Linked DNA regions of Saccharomyces cerevisiae S288C. The gene in region 3 interacts genetically with the main gene of each other region. Each region holds a gene or a part of one and is shown on either strand. Other genes may lie near its edges. The genes, in order: IPK1, VIP1, BAS1 and UBR2.

Evidence for each region.
Region 1: mutations in BAS1 (region 3) and IPK1 together harm fitness more than expected from each alone (negative genetic interaction), as found in Saccharomyces cerevisiae (3 studies listed by BioGRID).
Region 2: mutations in BAS1 (region 3) and VIP1 together harm fitness more than expected from each alone (negative genetic interaction), as found in Saccharomyces cerevisiae (4 studies listed by BioGRID).
Region 4: mutations in BAS1 (region 3) and UBR2 together harm fitness more than expected from each alone (negative genetic interaction), as found in Saccharomyces cerevisiae (2 studies listed by BioGRID).

What each region holds. Positions count from the first base shown.
Region 1 is NC_001136.10:1,092,241-1,095,383, reverse strand, and holds IPK1 (inositol pentakisphosphate 2-kinase), read left to right. Parts: upstream 1-1,797; coding exon 1,798-2,643; downstream 2,644-3,143. Other genes in the region: OMS1 (putative RNA methyltransferase), read right to left, coding at 206-1,621; RAD34 (Rad34p), read left to right, coding at 2,873-3,143. UniProt on the Saccharomyces cerevisiae protein: Has kinase activity and phosphorylates inositol-1,3,4,5,6-pentakisphosphate (Ins(1,3,4,5,6)P5) to produce 1,2,3,4,5,6-hexakisphosphate (InsP6), also known as phytate.
Region 2 is NC_001144.5:935,927-941,491, forward strand, and holds VIP1 (inositol polyphosphate kinase VIP1), read left to right. Parts: upstream 1-1,614; coding exon 1,615-5,055; downstream 5,056-5,565. Other genes in the region: rRNA-processing protein UTP21, read right to left, coding at 1-1,307; YLR410W-A (gag protein), read left to right, coding at 5,557-5,565. UniProt on the Saccharomyces cerevisiae protein: Bifunctional inositol kinase that acts in concert with the IP6K kinases to synthesize the diphosphate group-containing inositol pyrophosphates diphosphoinositol pentakisphosphate, PP-InsP5, and bis-diphosphoinositol tetrakisphosphate, (PP)2-InsP4.
Region 3 is NC_001143.9:634,314-638,847, forward strand, and holds BAS1 (Bas1p), read left to right. Parts: upstream 1-1,537; coding exon 1,538-3,973; downstream 3,974-4,534. Other genes in the region: ubiquitin-specific protease UBP11, read right to left, coding at 1-866. UniProt on the Saccharomyces cerevisiae protein: Activates HIS4 transcription only in combination with PHO2/BAS2. BAS1 is also involved in the regulation of the purine biosynthesis pathway.
Region 4 is NC_001144.5:187,213-195,050, reverse strand, and holds UBR2 (putative ubiquitin-protein ligase UBR2), read left to right. Parts: upstream 1-1,769; coding exon 1,770-7,388; downstream 7,389-7,838. Other genes in the region: ESCRT-III subunit protein SNF7, read right to left, coding at 1-599. UniProt on the Saccharomyces cerevisiae protein: E3 ubiquitin-protein ligase which probably functions outside the N-end rule pathway, since it lacks the residues essential for the degradation of N-end rule substrates. Mediates RPN4 ubiquitination and subsequent degradation.

The DNA.
Region 1 (3,143 bases), on a different chromosome or scaffold from region 3:
CCACAGAGTTCGCATTTTTATTTTTTCCCAGTGACGCAATTTTTGGATTGTTAATAATAGCGTCGTTACGTCACATATGGTCAGTATGATCACTTTAGAAGTAAGGAGAACTACCTAAGGGGTTTTAGATCACATTTTAACTTGCTTACTGAAATATTTACACGATTCTAAGCCTGTATAAAATTCATTGGTATGAATAAATATGTTAACTTTTACTTACAGGAGGTACTGGCTCAAGTTCTTTTTTAGATGCCATATCGTCTTTTTTTTCGAATGATTCCATTCTCTTTCTAATACTTGATTGCAAGTATTTTTCTACAAACCCAAGCTCGTCTTTCTTTTTCACATCACCTTTTCTCTTTGCAACGATACACCAAGTAGTGCCTAAGTGAGTCCGTTTTTCTTCCACCAATTCTAGGTCAGAATCATCTAACACTTCGCCTAAGTCGAGATTCCATCGACAGCCCCAAGTATTCAGTCTTCTTTCAGCTCTGTTGTCTAATATCTTATTTATAAAATCGTATTGACCTCTACCATGTTCCAGTAAAATAATTCTTCCATCTGGCTTTAATAACTTGCCAAAATTATTAAGTGCCTTAACCGGATCTTCATGGGAACACAAACCAAACGCCTCCACGATAGTATCATATTTTACTTGGTTTTCCTTTTCATTCTCTAGAGAGGGCTTACCTTTCTCTGCTAAGTCTACTAGATTTTCCGCCTTTCCAACAACAAATGCAACTTTTTTATACTTAGGAAACTTTTCTCGGAATTTTTTATGTGTAATTTCCATCATATTTTCAGAAGAGTCTAAGAATGTTATAGAGTTGATGCGTGACATATCAAGGTACTTGATATTTCTTCCTGTACCGCATGAAACTTCCAAAACATCCCCTTGACAATGTTTCATTAACCATTTCCTTCTTTTACCGAGAAATATTACTCTCTCTTCCATATTAATTGCCTTATCATATTCGTTAGCTTTTTCTTGGTAAAAGTTTGTTGTGTCTCTTGCTGGCAATATTTGTTCATTCAATTTGTTTTGATCAAAATTCTGTACCCGAATATCATCGAAGTTTTCAATGCCTTCTTCTTGCATTTTTTTGTATTCTTCTAATTTCAATTCATCTCTCCTCCTTAGTTTTCCTTTCAATTCTTTAATCCTTAATGCTTCGTATTCATTGGCATTCCCTTCTTCTTGTTTCTTCAACAATCTTTCCAGTTCTTTGTCTTTCGCAAACAGTTTTTTGGTAAAGAAGAGACCATAGATTAAAAATATCACATAAGCACCGATCATGTACTTGGTCATTCCCTTTGAAAACTTTTCTGATCTCGCAATAGCTCCCCACCTCACAAATCTATTAGGTGACCTCAGTTGTTCTTCGAACCTCTCTTTGGCCAATTCTTCTTTTGTTTTTTGCTTACGAATGACTCTATTGCTATTCATTTGGAAAACATTTTTAAGCTTTTTTTTACTTTTATCATCATCAATGTGGCTGCTGTTATATTTATAAGATGTAAAAGATAATGATCGCCTTTGTGATTCCAACAAAAGACTCCTGGATGCCGGTTGTCGAATGTGATGTAAAAGGCACGTAGGAAAGCGACGAAATACGATCATCCTCACTTACTTATGGTTTTCTTGTTCGTTCCTCAGTGGTTTATTTATCGAAGATATTTTCACAAGGTACTTTTTTGATGCGGTCCCATTTAGGGTTTCCAAAATTAATTCGAACCGTGATATGCTACCAGTCGAAAATTGTCAGAGATAAGTTCCTTTTTTGAAAAGAAAGATCGATGCAAGTCATCGGACGTGGTGGGGCAAATATACTGATTGATTATGGGGATCCTACGTGGTTGTGGCGATGCTGCATCCGTTGGCCCGATCTGTTATCATCAAATAATTCTTATACAATCAAAAACATCAGTTATATTAAAGATTATGTAGAACCTCTTCTACATGGCTTGCTTTGCCCGATGTATCTGATTGACGTCGATATAGAAGCTATAAGGCCAATTCTCAGTGACTTTATTCTAAATTTAGACGATAAGGTAGTCAAAGTTATCAAAATTAAAAATCTCACCAATAATACCTCAAATCTGATATTAAATAACCACTTTTTAAAATCTTATTGTTCACAAAATCTGCAAACAGTTATTTTAGAATTGAAGCCTAAATGGTTATACTATGATACAGATTACTGTAGGAACTGTACTCATAATGCATTTAAGGGTAGAGGCACTAAGTACTGTTACAATCAATTACTAATGAATCCAGCACACTTGGAATTAATATTTGGAGAATGTAATATATTTCCGGTTAAGTTTAAAGATGCCATGCATGAGTACTTGCGCAATGACAATAACATTTTCAAGATCCTTTATGATTTACAGAAAAAACTTACAAAGAACACAACTCCAATAAGTGACATAAAATCAATCAACGATGTAAACGATGAGCATCTGCTACTCATGACACTCAGAGACGTGACATGTTTCATTGAATGGAACAGTGCTGAAAATGCGTTGCACGTGAATATAATAGATGTAGATCTAAAGCCAAAAGAAAAATGGACCCATTGGACAAAAACTTACAGCCAGTTGACATCAAGCCAAAAAATTTATCATACTTCAAATAAATAAACTGTATACTTTTCTTTCCACCTTTGGTACTGGCAGATGCACATACATTACCATTTGTAAAATATATGGATAGATAAGTATTTTTTTTTTCTAGTGGCCCTCTGGAAAATGTAAATAATAAAACGGAAAACACACAAGCCAGGGTGAATGACCAAATTCGATATTCAACGAAGGGTCAAACCTTGAAACCTAGCATACATGAGTTTAAGGAATAGTGAGAAGAAAAGTAATGGCCAAGAGACTGTTAGAATCAAGCCAAAATGATCAGGCCAATCGAAAAAACTCAAAGATTGAGAAGAAAGAAGTATCGTTTTATGAGGAGGAAGAAACAGATGATTCTTTTGATAGTTTTTACCAGGATGAAGAAGATGATTTAAGTGATATTGATTGGGAAGAAGTTTCTTTAGATGGAAGCTTAACTGTCACATTTGGCAATATACGCAGAGACAGGGAGAAAGTCAGCAAGTACAAAAGAAAGCATAATAAAAAAGCATTCAATT
Region 2 (5,565 bases), on a different chromosome or scaffold from region 3:
TCTTTATGTGCAGTGATAATGTTTTCCCATTCACCTATTCTGGCATTTTCAATTGCAAGAGCCACTATTTCAGGAAATTTAGACTTAATTGTACTACCACCTACCCTGCCGCCATCTTGTTTCTTGTGTAACCTTTGTGACATTTCTTGCGACTGTGCATCTTTACGCAGAGAAAAGCTCCATAATGATCTATCTTTGGATGCTGATAGCATGAAGTGTGATTGCGAATCAGCAAACGCAATGTATGAAGGTGGTTGAGAATGACCCCCTCTGGAACGTAGATATCTTGGCGGTTGAACAACTACATCACCGCTTCCTTGAGATAATGACGGATCGAAAACGTACTCCTTCAGGGAATTGTCACCACCTGATGTAACAATAATGGGTTGACCATTTAAAAAAGTAGCCTGAGTGACACCACCGTACGATTCTCTATGAATGTTCTTCAAAACGTGTATTCTTGAACGGCGATCTAAATCATAAAATATTAGATCACCACTGCTCGTTCCCACACTCAAATGAGAAGAACCGTCGGTTCTGAAACTCAATGAGGAGATTCTTGATTGCGGAATCTTAATTGTGCGGATCCTTTTACCTTTTCTCATATTAAACATAATAACCTCACCGGTCACGGTACCTAGAGCAATAATATCCAGGACTGGAGCGGGTTCAGCAGTTGTGATTTGGTCTGGAAATTCGTTTGATGTGAATACAAGCTTCCCGGTTCTGACGTTAAAAAGTAAAACGTTAGATTTGGTAACGACAGTTAATTTATTCAAATAAGTTGCCAAATGTTGTAAAGACACAATTTCGCCACCTTGAATTTCAGTAACGGTAAGTTTAGTGTAGAATTCTGATGGATATTTATCTTGCGGATCGGACTTCTTGTATATAAAGATGGAATTGTCGTCGGTGGAAGCGCAAAGATAATCTCCGAATATGCACAAATGTTCGACATTTGCATCAGTTTCTAGCTCAAGCAAATGTTCCTCAATACCCCTCTTGTAAATACCAACCTTGTTTTCATATGCTGCGTAGACGTAGTGAAAGTGTGCTGATAATGCTACAATTGAGGATGGTGTTTCTTTCTCGGAAACAAAAAGTAAATGTAAGGTATTCGCATCATATATCTGAAATGTTTTACCAACACACGTTACAATGTAAAAGGTAGATCCCAATGTACCAGTAGCAAAAGGAACACCATTGCTAACATTACCAATAATCCGGAAAGGGGAAAATATCTTAGAATTTTTCCCTCTACTTCTTACGTCTTCTTCGACTTTTCTTTTTTTCAAGTCGATAGACATAATGTACTATTCCTAACTCGCTATAGCCTTTTCAGTGTCTTATTCCTTGCTGCTGTTTCGCTGTATATTTATTGTGCTTAGGACTTATTAAATTTCATTAGCAATCTCATCGCGAAATTTTTCTCAAAATTTTTCAGTTAAAAAAAAAAAAGCACGTGCTCAAAAATGTTTTTAGAAAATCATTTATTTAAGATAGGAAAAATGCAATTAATCATTGAATCAATATGTTCACCACTTAAATTACCCACTGAGCATTTCATACAAATTCAAAAGCATCTCGTAGCATATTAATATATTGCAGAAGGTCATGAGTGGGATAAAGAAGGAACCGATTGAATCTGATGAGGTTCCTCAACAAGAGACAAAAAATAACTTACCTAGTGCACCTTCTGAGATGTCACCCCTTTTCCTAAACAAAAACACACAGAAGGCTATGCAATCTATTGCACCAATATTGGAGGGTTTCAGTCCTAAGACGTCAGCTAGCGAAAATATGTCTTTGAAATTGCCACCTCCCGGTATTCAAGATGATCACAGTGAAGAGAATCTCACCGTGCATGATACTCTGCAAAGAACCATAAGCACTGCACTAGGAAACGGAAACAACACCAATACAGTTACAACTTCCGGTTTAAAAAAGGCAGACAGTGAATCAAAGTCAGAAGCTGATCCTGAGGGGCTCAGCAATTCTAACATAGTCAATGATGCAGATAACATAAATTCCATCTCCAAGACCGGATCGCCCCATTTACCTCAAGGAACAATGGACGCTGAGCAGACTAACATGGGAACTAACTCTGTACCTACTTCATCAGCTTCTTCACGCAAATCCTCGACTAGTCATCCCAAACCTAGGCTACCCAAGGTAGGGAAGATTGGGGTATGTGCAATGGATGCAAAAGTCCTTTCAAAGCCAATGAGACACATTTTGAATCGTTTAATTGAACATGGTGAATTTGAAACTGTCATTTTTGGAGATAAGGTGATTCTAGATGAAAGAATAGAGAATTGGCCAACTTGCGACTTTTTGATATCTTTCTTTTCTTCAGGATTTCCCCTAGATAAAGCAATTAAATACGTCAAGTTACGCAAGCCTTTCATTATCAATGATTTAATAATGCAAAAGATTTTGTGGGACAGGAGATTATGTCTACAAGTATTAGAAGCCTACAACGTTCCAACACCTCCTAGACTGGAAATCAGTAGAGATGGTGGTCCCCGTGCCAACGAAGAATTAAGGGCAAAATTACGTGAGCATGGCGTAGAAGTTAAACCCGTTGAAGAACCGGAATGGAAAATGGTTGATGATGATACTTTAGAAGTTGATGGGAAAACCATGACTAAGCCCTTTGTTGAAAAGCCCGTTGATGGTGAAGACCACAACATTTATATATACTATCATTCTAAGAACGGAGGAGGCGGTCGTCGTCTATTCCGTAAAGTTGGTAACAAGTCTTCTGAGTTTGATCCTACTTTGGTTCATCCTCGTACGGAGGGGTCTTACATTTATGAGCAGTTTATGGATACCGATAATTTCGAAGATGTGAAGGCTTATACGATTGGTGAGAACTTTTGTCACGCTGAAACTAGGAAATCACCTGTGGTTGATGGTATAGTTAGAAGAAATACTCATGGTAAAGAAGTTAGATATATTACTGAGTTATCAGACGAAGAGAAAACCATTGCTGGGAAAGTTTCCAAAGCTTTTTCACAAATGATCTGTGGTTTCGATTTGCTTCGCGTTTCTGGTAAAAGTTACGTCATTGATGTTAACGGATTTTCTTTTGTAAAGGATAACAAAGCTTACTATGATTCATGCGCCAATATATTGAGAAGTACCTTCATTGAAGCCAAAAAGAAGATGGATATGGAAAAGAAGAATCTGCCCATTATTCGTGAAGAAAAGGAACAAAAGTGGGTATTCAAAGGACTGGCTATCATTATCCGTCACGCGGACAGAACACCAAAACAGAAATTCAAACATTCATTCACTTCGCCTATTTTTATATCGTTACTAAAAGGTCACAAAGAAGAAGTTGTCATTCGGAATGTAAATGATTTAAAGATTGTTCTTCAGGCCTTAAGAATTGCGTTAGATGAAAAAGCAGGAAATCCAGCTAAAATTAAAGTGTTAGCAAACGCTCTAGAAAAGAAACTGAATTTTCCCGGTACGAAAATACAATTGAAACCGGTTTTAAATAAAGAGAACGAAGTGGAAAAAGTTCAGTTTATTTTGAAATGGGGTGGTGAACCCACTCATTCTGCCAAATATCAGGCTACGGAACTCGGAGAGCAAATGAGACAAGATTTTGACCTATTGAATAAGAGCATTCTACAAAACATCAAGATATTTTCATCGTCTGAGAGACGTGTTCTTCATACGGCGCAGTACTGGACCAGAGCTCTTTTTGGGGCCGATGAATTAGGTAGCGATGAAATCAGTATTAGAAAGGATCTTTTAGATGACAGTAATGCCGCCAAAGATTTAATGGATAAGGTGAAAAAGAAGTTGAAGCCACTTTTAAGAGAGGGTAAGGAAGCTCCCCCACAATTTGCCTGGCCTTCAAAGATGCCGGAGCCATATTTAGTCATAAAGCGAGTGGTTGAATTGATGAATTACCATAAAAAAATTATGGATAACAACTTTGCTAAAAAGGATGTCAACTCGATGCAAACAAGATGGTGTACTTCTGAAGATCCTAGTTTGTTTAAGGAAAGGTGGGATAAACTTTTCAAAGAATTCAATAATGCTGAAAAAGTCGATCCTTCTAAAATTTCTGAATTGTATGATACTATGAAGTATGATGCTCTTCACAACAGGCAGTTCCTAGAGAACATATTTGACCCGGGTCTTCCAAATGAAGCTATCGCCGATGAACTCGGCAGTCATTCTTTAGTTGACCGATACCCAATTAACGTTCTCGCCAAAAATAATTTTAAGATAATAGACAGTCATAGCATGAACAATTCTGGAAAGAACAGTAGTAATAGTGTTGGGTCGTTAGGATGGGTTCTGGAAAGCGGAAAAACATCTACAGCAAGAAACCCCAAATCTTCTTCTCAATTCGATGAGCCACGCTTTATGCAGTTGCGGGAGCTGTATAAGCTGGCCAAAGTATTGTTTGATTTTATCTGCCCCAAAGAATATGGTATTTCAGATGCAGAGAAACTGGATATCGGTTTGTTAACTTCGTTGCCTTTGGCAAAGCAAATACTAAATGATATAGGAGACATGAAAAATAGAGAAACTCCAGCTTGTGTTGCGTACTTCACCAAAGAGTCCCATATTTACACTCTATTGAATATCATATACGAATCTGGTATTCCAATGAGAATCGCTAGAAATGCTTTACCAGAACTAGACTACTTGTCGCAGATCACTTTTGAACTTTATGAGAGTACGGATGCTTCTGGTCAAAAATCGCATTCCATTAGACTAAAAATGTCTCCTGGGTGTCATACTCAAGATCCGTTAGATGTTCAATTAGATGACAGGCATTATATTAGTTGTATTCCAAAGATTTCCCTGACGAAGCATTTGGATATGGACTATGTTCAACAGAAATTGAGAAACAAATTTACCAGGGTCATTATGCCTCCGAAATTTACACCAGTAAACATTACGAGCCCCAACTTGAGTTTCCAGAAACGCAAAACCAGAAGAAAGTCGGTATCTGTTGAGAAGTTGAAACGTCCTGCCTCGTCCGGATCTTCATCATCTACCTCCGTTAACAAGACATTAGATTAGTGATCACACCCAATTTTTAATTTAGTAACCCAAAACTAAATAAGTATTTACTCAACTTTTTTTTAAAAAAAAAAAACTTAATTGAATTTTGCTCGCGATCTTTAGGTCCGGAGTTTTCGTTGAACCCTTAGACGAGCAAATTAGCGCCATAAGGATATGCGTCAGAGCACATTAATTAGTGACATATACCTATATAAAGAGCAACCTTCTTGTTGGAATAAAAATCAACTATCATCTACTAACTAGTATTTACGTTACTAGTATATTATCATATACGGTGTTAGAAGATGACGCAAATGATGAGAAATAGTCATCTAAATTAGTGGAAGCTGAAACGCAAGGATTGATAATGTAATAGGATCAATGAATATTAACATATAAAATGATGATAATAATATTTATAGAATTGTGTAGAATTGCAGATTCCCTTTTATGGATTCCTAAATCCTCGAGGAGAACTTCTAGTATATCTACATACCTAATATTATTGCCTTATTAAAAATGGAATCC
Region 3 (4,534 bases):
TTAGAATCTTCAATTACTGGTAGATTGTAAGCTTTCGGGGCCGAAGATTCTATGGCCTCGATCTTTCCTTCTTCCTCCTTTGGCTTTTCCACCTTGGATAAAGAGGATGAAGAATCTTGGCTAGAATCTCTGATTTGTGACGAAACCTCCAAGGAGTGCACGGGGGGAGCAGTTGCTGGACTAGACAGCGTTTTGAATAATGCATCCTTTCCAGTACTGAGTTTTAAATACGAGGGTTTTGATAATGCTTCTTTGCTTGTGTAGTACGCCACTTCAGAACCAGCTTCCAATTTATTACTTGATGCTATCTGATTACTTTCCCTGACTATGTCCTCTTTCGAATTATCATTTGTTGGTTTTGTTAGCTCATTCGGTATTTCATGTAGTGAGCCATCAAACTTGTTATGTATTGACAAAGAGGCCATATGAACAGGTAAAGGCCGTAGCGGTAAGGAGTAGGCTCTTTTTCTTTTTATGGTCCTGCAAATTCCGTTTGACTCCGCTAAATACCGGTCAACAATAACAGTACTTTCATCTCTTACCACTTTTAACACATAACCCATCACGTGTTCGTCTTGATAGTCGTTTTTTAGCTTTGCGTAACTGCTGTAGAGATTATTTCTTGTTTGGAATTGTAACGATTGTGGAATAATAAGGTACAGATAATAACAACCAATAATAAATGCTGTCAAAGCTTCCATTTCCTGATTGATTTCTAAATCCCTCAGGTAAACATTAAACAGATGAGCAGCATGGTCTAACAATCCTCTTAAGTTCTTTAGCCGTAATTGCGAATAAAACTGTTTAATATCTACTTCATATACTTTTCGAACTAGGTTTAGAATTTGATCTGGGTTTAATAACATTGTCTTTATGACTTCCGATTTAGCGAAAAGAAAACGGAAAGTAAGATCAATGCCACGGTTATTTAGTTTACTGAAGATCCTGAAAGACTACTAGCAGTAGCAGTAACCTTTCAGAGCTTATAATCAACCTAATGATTACTCAGCGCACAATCTAAAAGGGTTTCTCAACTAATTCTCGAAGAAATGTCAATCCCTTTTTTAAGCACTCCGGAAAAACTTTATAATAGATGTGGGGAAATCACCTTTGACGATGTGCAACGGAGAAACTATTTTTTTTTTTCTTTTTTTCTTTTTTTTTTTTTTTTTGGTCCGAACAATGCGATGAGCCAGACGAAGAAAAAAATAAAAAATGAGAATGAGTAATTATGTTAAGACCTTTAGAAGAAATAGGGTCCAGTCACAGAATAAAGCCCCAGGAAACTTTAAAGCAATCGAAATTAACCAGCTATATTTATATAATAAGAAATTTTTCTTATTAGTTTACTATAAAGGACTAGTGTACGTTTTTTGTGTTTAATTATTTGCTTTCTGATAATCCGGTTTGCTGATTTGAATCGTTCTCTGCAACAATTGTTGATCTCTAGTGGGGTAAACAAAATTAGTTTTGTTTAAAACTTTTGTTGTAGCGTTTTTGCTCTTTTTTTTTTATCGCAGAATACATTTTATCGAGAATGTCGAATATAAGTACCAAAGATATACGAAAAAGTAAGCCAAAAAGAGGATCCGGCTTCGATTTACTTGAAGTGACTGAATCACTTGGCTATCAGACACACAGGAAAAATGGAAGAAATTCATGGTCAAAGGACGACGATAATATGCTACGATCGCTAGTAAACGAATCCGCAAAGGAGTTAGGCTATGAGAATGGACTTGAAGACGTAAAAACAATTCAACAATCCAACCATCTTTCTAAATGTATTGCTTGGGATGTTTTAGCTACACGATTCAAACACACCGTAAGAACTTCAAAGGATGTAAGAAAGCGTTGGACAGGATCTCTGGACCCAAACTTGAAGAAAGGTAAATGGACACAAGAAGAGGATGAGCAGCTCTTGAAAGCTTATGAAGAACATGGGCCTCACTGGCTGAGTATCTCCATGGATATCCCTGGAAGAACAGAGGATCAATGTGCGAAAAGGTACATTGAAGTGTTGGGACCTGGAAGTAAAGGTAGATTAAGAGAATGGACGCTCGAGGAAGATTTAAATCTGATAAGTAAAGTGAAGGCATACGGCACGAAATGGAGAAAGATTTCGTCGGAAATGGAATTCAGACCAAGTTTAACGTGCAGGAACAGATGGCGGAAAATTATTACTATGGTTGTGCGAGGACAAGCATCAGAAGTAATAACAAAGGCTATAAAAGAAAACAAGAACATAGACATGACAGACGGAAAACTCCGACAACATCCAATCGCCGATTCTGATATACGCTCAGATTCTACACCGAATAAAGAAGAACAGTTGCAGCTATCTCAACAGAACAACCCTTCATTGATAAAGCAGGATATATTGAATGTTAAAGAGAACGAATCGAGCAAACTACCAAGATTAAAGGATAATGATGGACCCATTTTAAATGACAGCAAGCCACAAGCATTACCTCCCTTAAAAGAGATATCTGCACCTCCACCAATCAGGATGACGCAAGTCGGTCAGACTCATACCAGTGGTAGCATTAGGAGCAAAGTATCTTTACCAATTGAAGGTCTTTCTCAAATGAACAAGCAAAGTCCTGGAGGAATCTCAGATAGCCCACAGACAAGCCTTCCCCCAGCATTCAATCCAGCATCTCTCGATGAGCATATGATGAATAGTAATAGTATTTCAGATTCTCCGAAGCATGCTTATTCTACTGTGAAAACTAGAGAACCAAATTCCTCTAGCACACAATGGAAATTTACATTAAAAGATGGTCAAGGTTTGTCAATTTCTAACGGAACTATTGACAGCACAAAATTAGTAAAAGAATTGGTTGACCAAGCTAAGAAGTACTCTTTAAAAATTTCGATACATCAACATATTCACAATCATTATGTTACATCCACAGACCATCCTGTCAGCAGCAATACTGGATTGTCAAATATAGGAAATATAAATGGAAACCCTCTATTAATGGATAGTTTCCCACATATGGGTAGACAACTGGGAAATGGTCTTCCAGGGTTAAATTCAAATAGTGACACTTTTAACCCAGAATATAGGACTTCTCTGGACAACATGGATAGCGATTTTTTATCAAGAACACCCAACTATAACGCATTCAGCTTGGAAGCAACTTCACACAATCCCGCTGACAATGCAAATGAACTTGGTTCACAAAGCAATAGAGAAACAAACAGCCCGTCTGTATTTTATCCTCAAGCAAATACATTGATCCCAACTAATTCTACCGCTACAAATAATGAAATCATTCAAGGAAACGTTAGTGCTAATAGTATGTCACCGAATTTCAATGGAACAAATGGCAAGGCACCAAGTTCGACGGCATCATATACAACGAGCGGTTCAGAAATGCCACCTGATGTAGGTCCTAATAGAATAGCGCATTTCAACTATTTGCCACCAACTATACGGCCTCATTTAGGCTCATCAGATGCGACAAGAGGTGCTGACTTGAATAAGTTACTCAATCCATCTCCAAATTCAGTAAGAAGTAACGGCAGTAAAACTAAGAAAAAAGAAAAAAGAAAAAGTGAATCATCTCAGCATCATTCTTCATCATCTGTGACAACCAATAAATTCAATCACATTGATCAGTCGGAGATATCAAGGACTACATCCAGATCTGATACTCCATTGAGAGATGAAGACGGCCTGGATTTTTGGGAAACGTTAAGATCCTTGGCTACTACGAATCCAAATCCTCCAGTTGAAAAGTCAGCTGAAAATGATGGTGCCAAGCCTCAAGTGGTACATCAAGGGATTGGCTCACATACAGAAGATAGCAGCCTAGGTTCCCATAGCGGAGGATACGATTTTTTTAACGAACTGTTGGATAAAAAGGCAGATACACTGCATAATGAGGCTAAGAAGACGAGCGAGCATGATATGACGTCAGGAGGTTCTACCGATAATGGGTCAGTCCTGCCACTGAATCCTAGTTGAGAAGGCAAGGCCGAAAAAAAACACAAATCTTTCAATTGTTTAACATATTAGTTTTGTAATAAGCATAAGTGTATATTATACATAGCACAAGATGGATAATATTCTCTGAAAAAAACGTGTAGTTTCATGACTCGCATTTTTTTTTTTTTTTCTTTCATGTTGATTAACATACTTGAATTCTGTATTTAAGCTGTATAAAAAGTTGTTCTATTTCATATACGGCGATTTTGCATAATTAAGAACTTTGCCTTGTACACTATTTTACTAGGGTATTCTTCCAAGATTTCTCTTCTTATTTTTTCCCTTTATAAGTCATTGTAGCAACATAATTTCCTGGAAATTTTAAGGGAATATATTTCTTTCCGCCCACAAACACAAAGGGCGTTTAGTAAATTATGCGGCGATGTATAAAAGAGAAAGCAGGCAAAAAGAAAATGAAAAATGAGACTATGAACTTTAAGAATTATGTCTTGACTAATTTTTTAAAACCCATCATCCATGAAGAGTTCTGTTTGTATTGTTTACGTTTGATGTTTGAAGTGAATTTAATAGAATTGTTCC
Region 4 (7,838 bases), on a different chromosome or scaffold from region 3:
GGTAGTGAGACTTTGTTCTCTGAGATAGGCGCCGCATTAACATTATTATTAACGATCTTGGACGTTTCTTGGTTAGCATTTTCTTGAGCCAGCATGTCCAATTCCTCGTCCAGCTCATCTTCATCCACCTCGTTTGCCCCAGTAATTAAAGGCCTGGATATAGCGTCGCTTATTTCATCTCCTAATTCGACTTGCTCCCTTATCTCGTCCATAGTTTCATCCACTTTATCTATGTCAAGGCCACTGTGAATAGTTTTCATTGCCTTAGCACCTTCCTGCATAGCCCTCATTGTCTCTAGATTTAAGTTTGCACTTTCTATAGAGAATAGCTGCTGTTCCATAGACTCCATTGTGCCTTCTACCTTACTTAAAAGTTGTTCGATTGTCTTCTTCTTTTTAAGTGCATTCTTCGCCATTACTTTATTGCCCTTCGTCAAAAAGATTCTAGCTTCATTCTCTTGATTTGTAATTTGAGTACGTAAATGCGATTGCTTTTTGGATAGAAGGTTGATATGCTCCCTCAACCGCACTATGGCCTTTGTTGGTGACTCTTTATTCTTGGCATTACTTGATGTCCAACCAAAAAGTGATGACCACATGCCTTATTTATCAATACTGTTATGTTTCTGCTGCTTCCGTCCGAAATACAATATCTTACCCTTTAGAAGCTCGTACTTCCCCTGCTCTGCCAACTATTCATGATTCGAAATCACCCACCGACTTATTTAAAAATCCCATCTTTTATCAAAAGGGTCGAACATGAATCGTATAAAATGATGCATATAACAAAAGCTATGTAGTATATATATTTGCTATTACTTACCAACATTAAGCATTGGTTAGTTACGGAACTCCATCGTTGTCGTTACTCTGCTCACCCCCACCTCAATAACTACTTTACATAAGTATGCGGCATATAACAATATGACAAGTCATCCTATAATTAAAAAAGTTAACTGTCACCATAGCATAACCGCCAAGCGCTAAATTAAGGGGGAAAGAAAAGAACGGTGTTGAACGCAAGCTATCTACCTCTTTCTTTGATGCGGTTGAAATATTATACTCGAATAACAACCATTTATAGAGGCGAAATCACTAGAATGGCCGGCTTAGTATAAACAATACCGAGTACGCCAATTTTATGGTACACAGTTTATACGTAATACTGATTTCCGACGAAGCCGCAATTGTAAGTCAAAACTTGAATTAATTAGTCTCACATGGCTGACATAACGAAGAATAAAATTAGGGAAAATACCGCCAAAATTTATCCCCCGTTTAGAGGAAGGTGATGACTCGACTCATCAATTTTCAATCTACATATAGCTACGTATTCATGCCACTCACTTCTTAGGATGTTAGATGTAACAAACCGAGCAATCATAAGGCCCATGTTATAATATTTGCGGGGCAAGTGTTACTGGTCCTAGATCCTAATTGCCCGTTTCTTCACTAGATGTGCAAAAAGCACACCATCACTTATCACGTTGTGGTGACAACGGCGGCAATTTCCAGTGGCGTTTGTTGAACTTTTAGGCGATATCAATAAAGAGCATCGTCAATGTACAGCTGTGGGGAGAAACCCAATAATCAACGCATTCATACTTTCAATTGCTTGGCATATTACTAACAACTCTATAAAAAAAAAAAGTTGCTCAAGCTTTTTAAAAAAAAGAGCCGGCTTTTTTTTCTAATTATTATCATTTACTCGTCTCTGATAGTAAAGGTAAGATTCGTTAACTAAATTAATAGCTACTTAACAAGCACGCATGGAAGATTCTGACCTGTCTATAACCAATATAAGAGATTTTCTTACCGAGCTCCCCAAACTCGCGAAATGCGAATATAGCGAAACCACTAGTTATTTACTATGGAAAACCTTAAATCTACGCCTTAAGCATAGTGATAACGATATAAACTGGCGCTCTCTCGTTTCAATACTCAATTCTGAAGCCTGGGAAAACGAAAAGTACAGAGACATACTAAATGGAAGAAAGTGGAGGACCCTGGAGTTCGAGAATGACCACCACTCTGTGGGTAATATGCATATTGGAACAGCGTGTACGCGTTTATGCTTCCCCTCTGAGACAATTTATTACTGTTTTACGTGCTCCACAAATCCATTGTATGAAATATGTGAGCTTTGTTTCGATAAAGAAAAACATGTAAATCATTCTTATGTTGCTAAAGTGGTAATGCGCCCAGAAGGCAGAATATGCCATTGTGGTGACCCCTTTGCCTTTAATGACCCAAGCGACGCGTTCAAGTGCAAGAACGAATTAAATAATATTCCTATTTCTAACGACAATAGTAACGTAACCGATGATGAAAACGTAATCTCCCTATTGAATTATGTTCTGGATTTTTTAATTGATGTAACTGTTTCATACAAAGAGGAGGCAGAAGCCCATTCAAGCGAGAGAAAAGCATCCTCCCTAATGCATCCTAATCAAAACAGCATTACTGATGATATAATGGAAAAACACGAATGTGAACCATTGGTCAATGATGAAAATTTTGTTTTCTTTGATAACAATTGGTCCAATACGAGAAAAGAAGCACATATGGAGTGGGCTATTCAAATCGAAGAAGAAGAGTGTAACGTACACTACATGGATTTAGCATCTACAATAACAAGAATTTTGAATACACCGGTTGAATATGCAATCTCAATAACGAAGGCTTTAGAAGATTCACACGATGTAGTGACTGTGCTACAAAGTGAGAATTTTTTCGAAATAGATCAAATAGCCAAGGAGTTTCAAAAGGAAAACATAGTAGTTCATGTAAGAAAAGCGGATGATATATTCAAGAGAAAGTTAACAGATGATTTAACAGATTGGTTATATTCTCTGTGCTTTAAGGCGGCCACGTCTTTGCAAAATAAATATGCTCTTAGAATTTCCATGCTAGATGTTTGGTATTCCCATTTTTCTAAAATGAGAGTATCTCCCACAAATACCAATCCTGACTTTTCTAAGATTAACTTATTAGGTGGATTCTTAATATCTAACGAAGATAGTGATGAATCATGGTTTAAACCTTGGTCATTAGAGAACATTGAAGACGAAAGAATTTCAAAAATACTCACTAATTACAATGAAAGGTTGATCAGAGCCCATTCGCCGAACACAGTAAGCCATTTCTACAATTTCTATGGATCTAGATTCCAATATATTATCATCAATTCTATTAATATCCTCTCAAAAAAATCTAAATTCAAAATGTTAAAGATCATGGCGTCATTATTCTCGTTAAGGGATGAAAGCAGAAAGTTTCTTGCCGCACAATATATTGATGTTTATCTATCGGTCTTGTATGATGCAGTTGCATCAGATGCTAAAGAATGTCAGGTAACTCTTATGAGTATATTAGGGCAATACACTTTCCAAGACCCCAGCATAGCAAATATGACTATAAGCTCGGGATTCATTGAACGAACTATTAGATTTGCTTTTACTCTCATGGCATTCAATCCAGAAGACTTGATGTCATATTTGCCCATCTCTTTATACAATGGCTTTAAGTTGCCCACCGAAACAATACGAAATCGAAGGACAATTATTTGCTTTAAAGACCTTTGTACGATAATGTCAGCGAACACTGTTCCGGAAGAACTACTTTCAAATGAGGCAATTTTTAACGCAATAATTGAGTCCTTCTCTGAATTCAGTAACGTGCTGCCATTGAAAAGGGAAACTAAAGAACACGTGGAGGTTGAAAACTTTGATTTTTCTGCATTTTATTTTTTTTTCTCATCAATACTAATAATGACAGATGGATACACACGTAGTATATCTTTGGTCAAAGATGCGGCTTTCCGTAAGCAAATCGTCCTTAAACTACTTGATGTTGCTCAAACCAGGGAATTTGAATCACTAACCAATTCTAGAAAAGCTATATCACCTGATAACGCATCAACGAATGAAAATGATTCGAACAAAGCGACTTTGTCTACAGTCAGAGAGACGATATGCAATTATGTCGCAGAGACTATTAATTTCCAGGTAGGTGTAAATACACAGTATTTTTTCAATCCAATGTCATATTTGTTCAAATTTGTTATTCAATGGAGTCAATGTGGTAGATATGAGCCAATTCCTGCTTCTTTGACAAACTACATTAATCTCTTCGAAGTTTTTCAAGATAAGCAGAAGGCTTTATATATATCAGAATCTGCTTTGTCAACCCTAGTCCTAATCGGGCAAATAAACGTCGGTTTCTGGGTAAGAAACGGAACTCCAATTACTCACCAGGCCCGGATGTATACAAAATACAGTATGCGAGAATTTACTTATATTAGTGACATTTTCAATGTGCAATTTAGTATGGCAATGTGCAATCCTGATGAACTGATGGTTACTTACCTCTCAAGGTGGGGTTTGAAGCACTGGGCAAATGGTGTACCTATGTATGATTATCCTGATACAGAAACAACTGTAGCCGTTGTTAATGAATGCATTCTGTTATTGATTCAATTGCTTACTGAAGTGAGATCATTGGTCATGAAATCATCAAAGGAAGGCTTCGAGAGAACGTTCAAATCAGAAATAATTCATGCCCTTTGCTTTGATACATGCTCTTACGCACAAATTGTTAACTGTATTCCAGAACATATCACCAAGCACCCTTCATTTGATATATATCTCGAAAAATACGCCAATTACACTTCTCCTGTAAGCTTGACTGACAATGGCATTTTCGTGTTGAAAGAAAAGTATAAAGATGAGATTGATCCTTATTATATAGGGTTGTCTTCCAGTAGGAGGTATGATGTAGAGAAAAATATCAGGCTGAATATGGCAAATTTGAAGAAAATGAAATATGAAGATACTTTTGTACCAGCAAAAAAGGTTAAAGATTTGTTGAAGAATACATTATTTTCTGGGCTGTATTCAATATCATCAGTGAATACTTTTGGTTTATTTTTGAAAAATACTTTAGATCACATTATAAAATATGATTATGACAATTTATTGCCGAGAGTGGTTCATTTGATTCATTTATGCGTGGTTAATAATCTGAATGAATTTATGGGGATACTGTGGCATGAATACGCAATTGTGGACACAGAATTCTGTCATTACCACAGCATTGGTTCTATCCTGTATTACTGTTTGTTGAAGGATAATTTTTCGGAATCTCATGGTAAGATTAGGGAAATTTTCAGGTATTTAATGGAAACAGCGCCTCACGTAAATGTAAACAGTTATTTGAGGGAGCAAACCACGTCATATACACCAGGAATATTGTGGCCTACAAAGGAAGATAAAAGCCACAAGGATAAAGAATTTGAAAGGAAAAAACATCTTGCTCGATTGAGAAAGAAAAAATTAATGAAGAAGTTGGCTCAACAGCAAATGAAATTCATGGAAAACAATAGTGTAGATACTTCCGATATTAGTACACCCAGAACCACATCACCTAGTTTATCTCCCACTAGAATAAATGCAGAGAATAGTAGTAACACAATCAACAGTTGCTGCGATGATGATTGCGTATTTTGCAAGATGCCGAAGGATGACGATGTATTTGTTTATTTTTCATACCAAGAACGGAACATATGTGATCATGGAATTGATTTTACGAATCCTACAGATGTTAATAGAATAAATTCGCTGTTCAGTGGTAAGCAAACAAAAGACAGTGCAATCCAAGAAAACCCCCAGGATGATGATGGAACGAGATTGAAATTTACTAGCTGTGAACCAGTATTAAGAGCATGCGGGCATGGGTCTCATACCAAATGTTTAAGTGGCCATATGAAGTCGATTCGCGGAATACAAAACCAAACTACAAAAAATATTCCATTATCGTATGGTTCAGGGTTGATATATTGTCCCGTATGCAATTCCTTAAGTAATTCATTTCTACCAAAAACAAATGATATAGATAAGAGAACTTCGAGCCAGTTTTTTATGTGTATTGAAAAGCGAAGTGAAGCGGAAGAAAACCTTGACCCAATGAGCTCTATTTGTATTAAAGCAGCGATGATTCTAGGTGATCTTCAGGGTAAAAAAGTCACGACTATCGAAGATGCATATAAAGTTGTTAATAGTGTTTTTATTAATACTATTTCAAATACTGAGCTCAGATTAAGATCGCACAAAAAGGAAGGAAAAATAGTGAATATGGAAAGAATATCCAGTCAGTGCATTTTAACCTTACATTTAGTTTGTGAGCTAAAGTCGTTTATTTACAAAAAATTTGTTAATTCAAAAACATTCAGCAGCGAAATCTCTCGTAAAATATGGAATTGGAATGAGTTTCTAATAAAGGGTAATAATGTGAATCTACTTTTGTATATGAGTCAAAATTTTGATAATATTGATGGAGGAAAAACCCCGCAACCGCCTAACCTATGTATCTATGAAATGTTCAAAAGAAGGTTCCATCAACTACTACTGTTGCTTGCAAGAGATATGATGAGAGTAAACTTTTACAAAGACTGTCGAAATAAAATCAAAATATCATCAAACGGATCTGAGGAACCATCGACAAGCTTTTCATATCTATTCAATACTTTTAAAAAGTATGTTGATCTCTTTAAACCAGACGACGTTCGGTTTGATTTTACAAGTTTAGAGAAAATTAAAGACTTTATATGCTCTCTATTACTAGAGTCATTGTCCATTTTTTGTAGAAGAACCTTCTTATTATTCAACATTCAGTATGATGATGATGGTGATGGTGATAATAATAATAACCGCAGCAATAATTTCATGGACGTCAAACAGCGTGAAATAGAGCTTATTTTCCGGTATTTTAAATTACCCAATTTAACTCACTTTTTGAAGGATTTTTTCTACAACGAACTAACACAAAATATAGAAAGGTATAATGATGGTAATGATAATTTGAGAATTCAGCAAGTAATATATGACATGGTGCAGAACATAAACACAAGAGCATATCCTTCACCAGAGCATATCCAGCTTATCGAACTACCATTGAACCTTTCCAAATTTTCCCTTGATAATGATGAAATATCGAATAAATGTGATAAATACGAAATCGCAGTATGCTTGTTGTGTGGCCAAAAATGCCATATTCAAAAAAGCATAGCACTGCAAGGTTATTTACAGGGGGAATGTACTGATCATATGAGAAATGGATGCGAAATCACCTCCGCTTACGGAGTTTTCTTAATGACCGGCACAAATGCGATATATCTGTCATACGGCAAAAGAGGTACATTTTATGCTGCACCTTATCTAAGTAAATACGGAGAGACCAACGAAGACTACAAATTCGGTACTCCCGTCTATTTGAATCGGGCGAGATACGCGAATCTAGCGAATGAGATTGTTTTTGGCAACATGATTCCGCACATAGTGTTCCGACTAACGGACGGCAGTGCAGATCTTGGTGGGTGGGAGACTATGTAGTTATCCAACAAATGTCTAGTCATTCAAAATTGCTACGAAATTAGCGTATCCGAAAAATCAAAAGAAATTTTATCTGTTTTAATTGGCGTGGGGAAGTGGGGTAGGGTCGAGGATCATTACGCTTTCTCGTGGGAAGGGACAGGGACGGACCGAAAAAAAAAGAAATGCCGCAGAAAAAGAAATGTTTTAGTGTGGGGTATGGGCTGAAGCTCGTATAGTGCAGGGTGACTTCACTTTTCTTTTTACCCTGCAGGAAATGGAGAAAGTGTTGATGGATAAGGTATATAGTCATAAGGTGACACAGCGTGGGTGTACATCTAGAAAGCTTGGCGATTCGAGCGAAGTGGTGGTTTACTCGTTTTATAATAAGAGTTTTTGGACATTATTTTTTCTTTAGGACACAGTTGATTCAAATTCTACACTTGTTTTGTCGTCTGGTAAAGTTTAGCC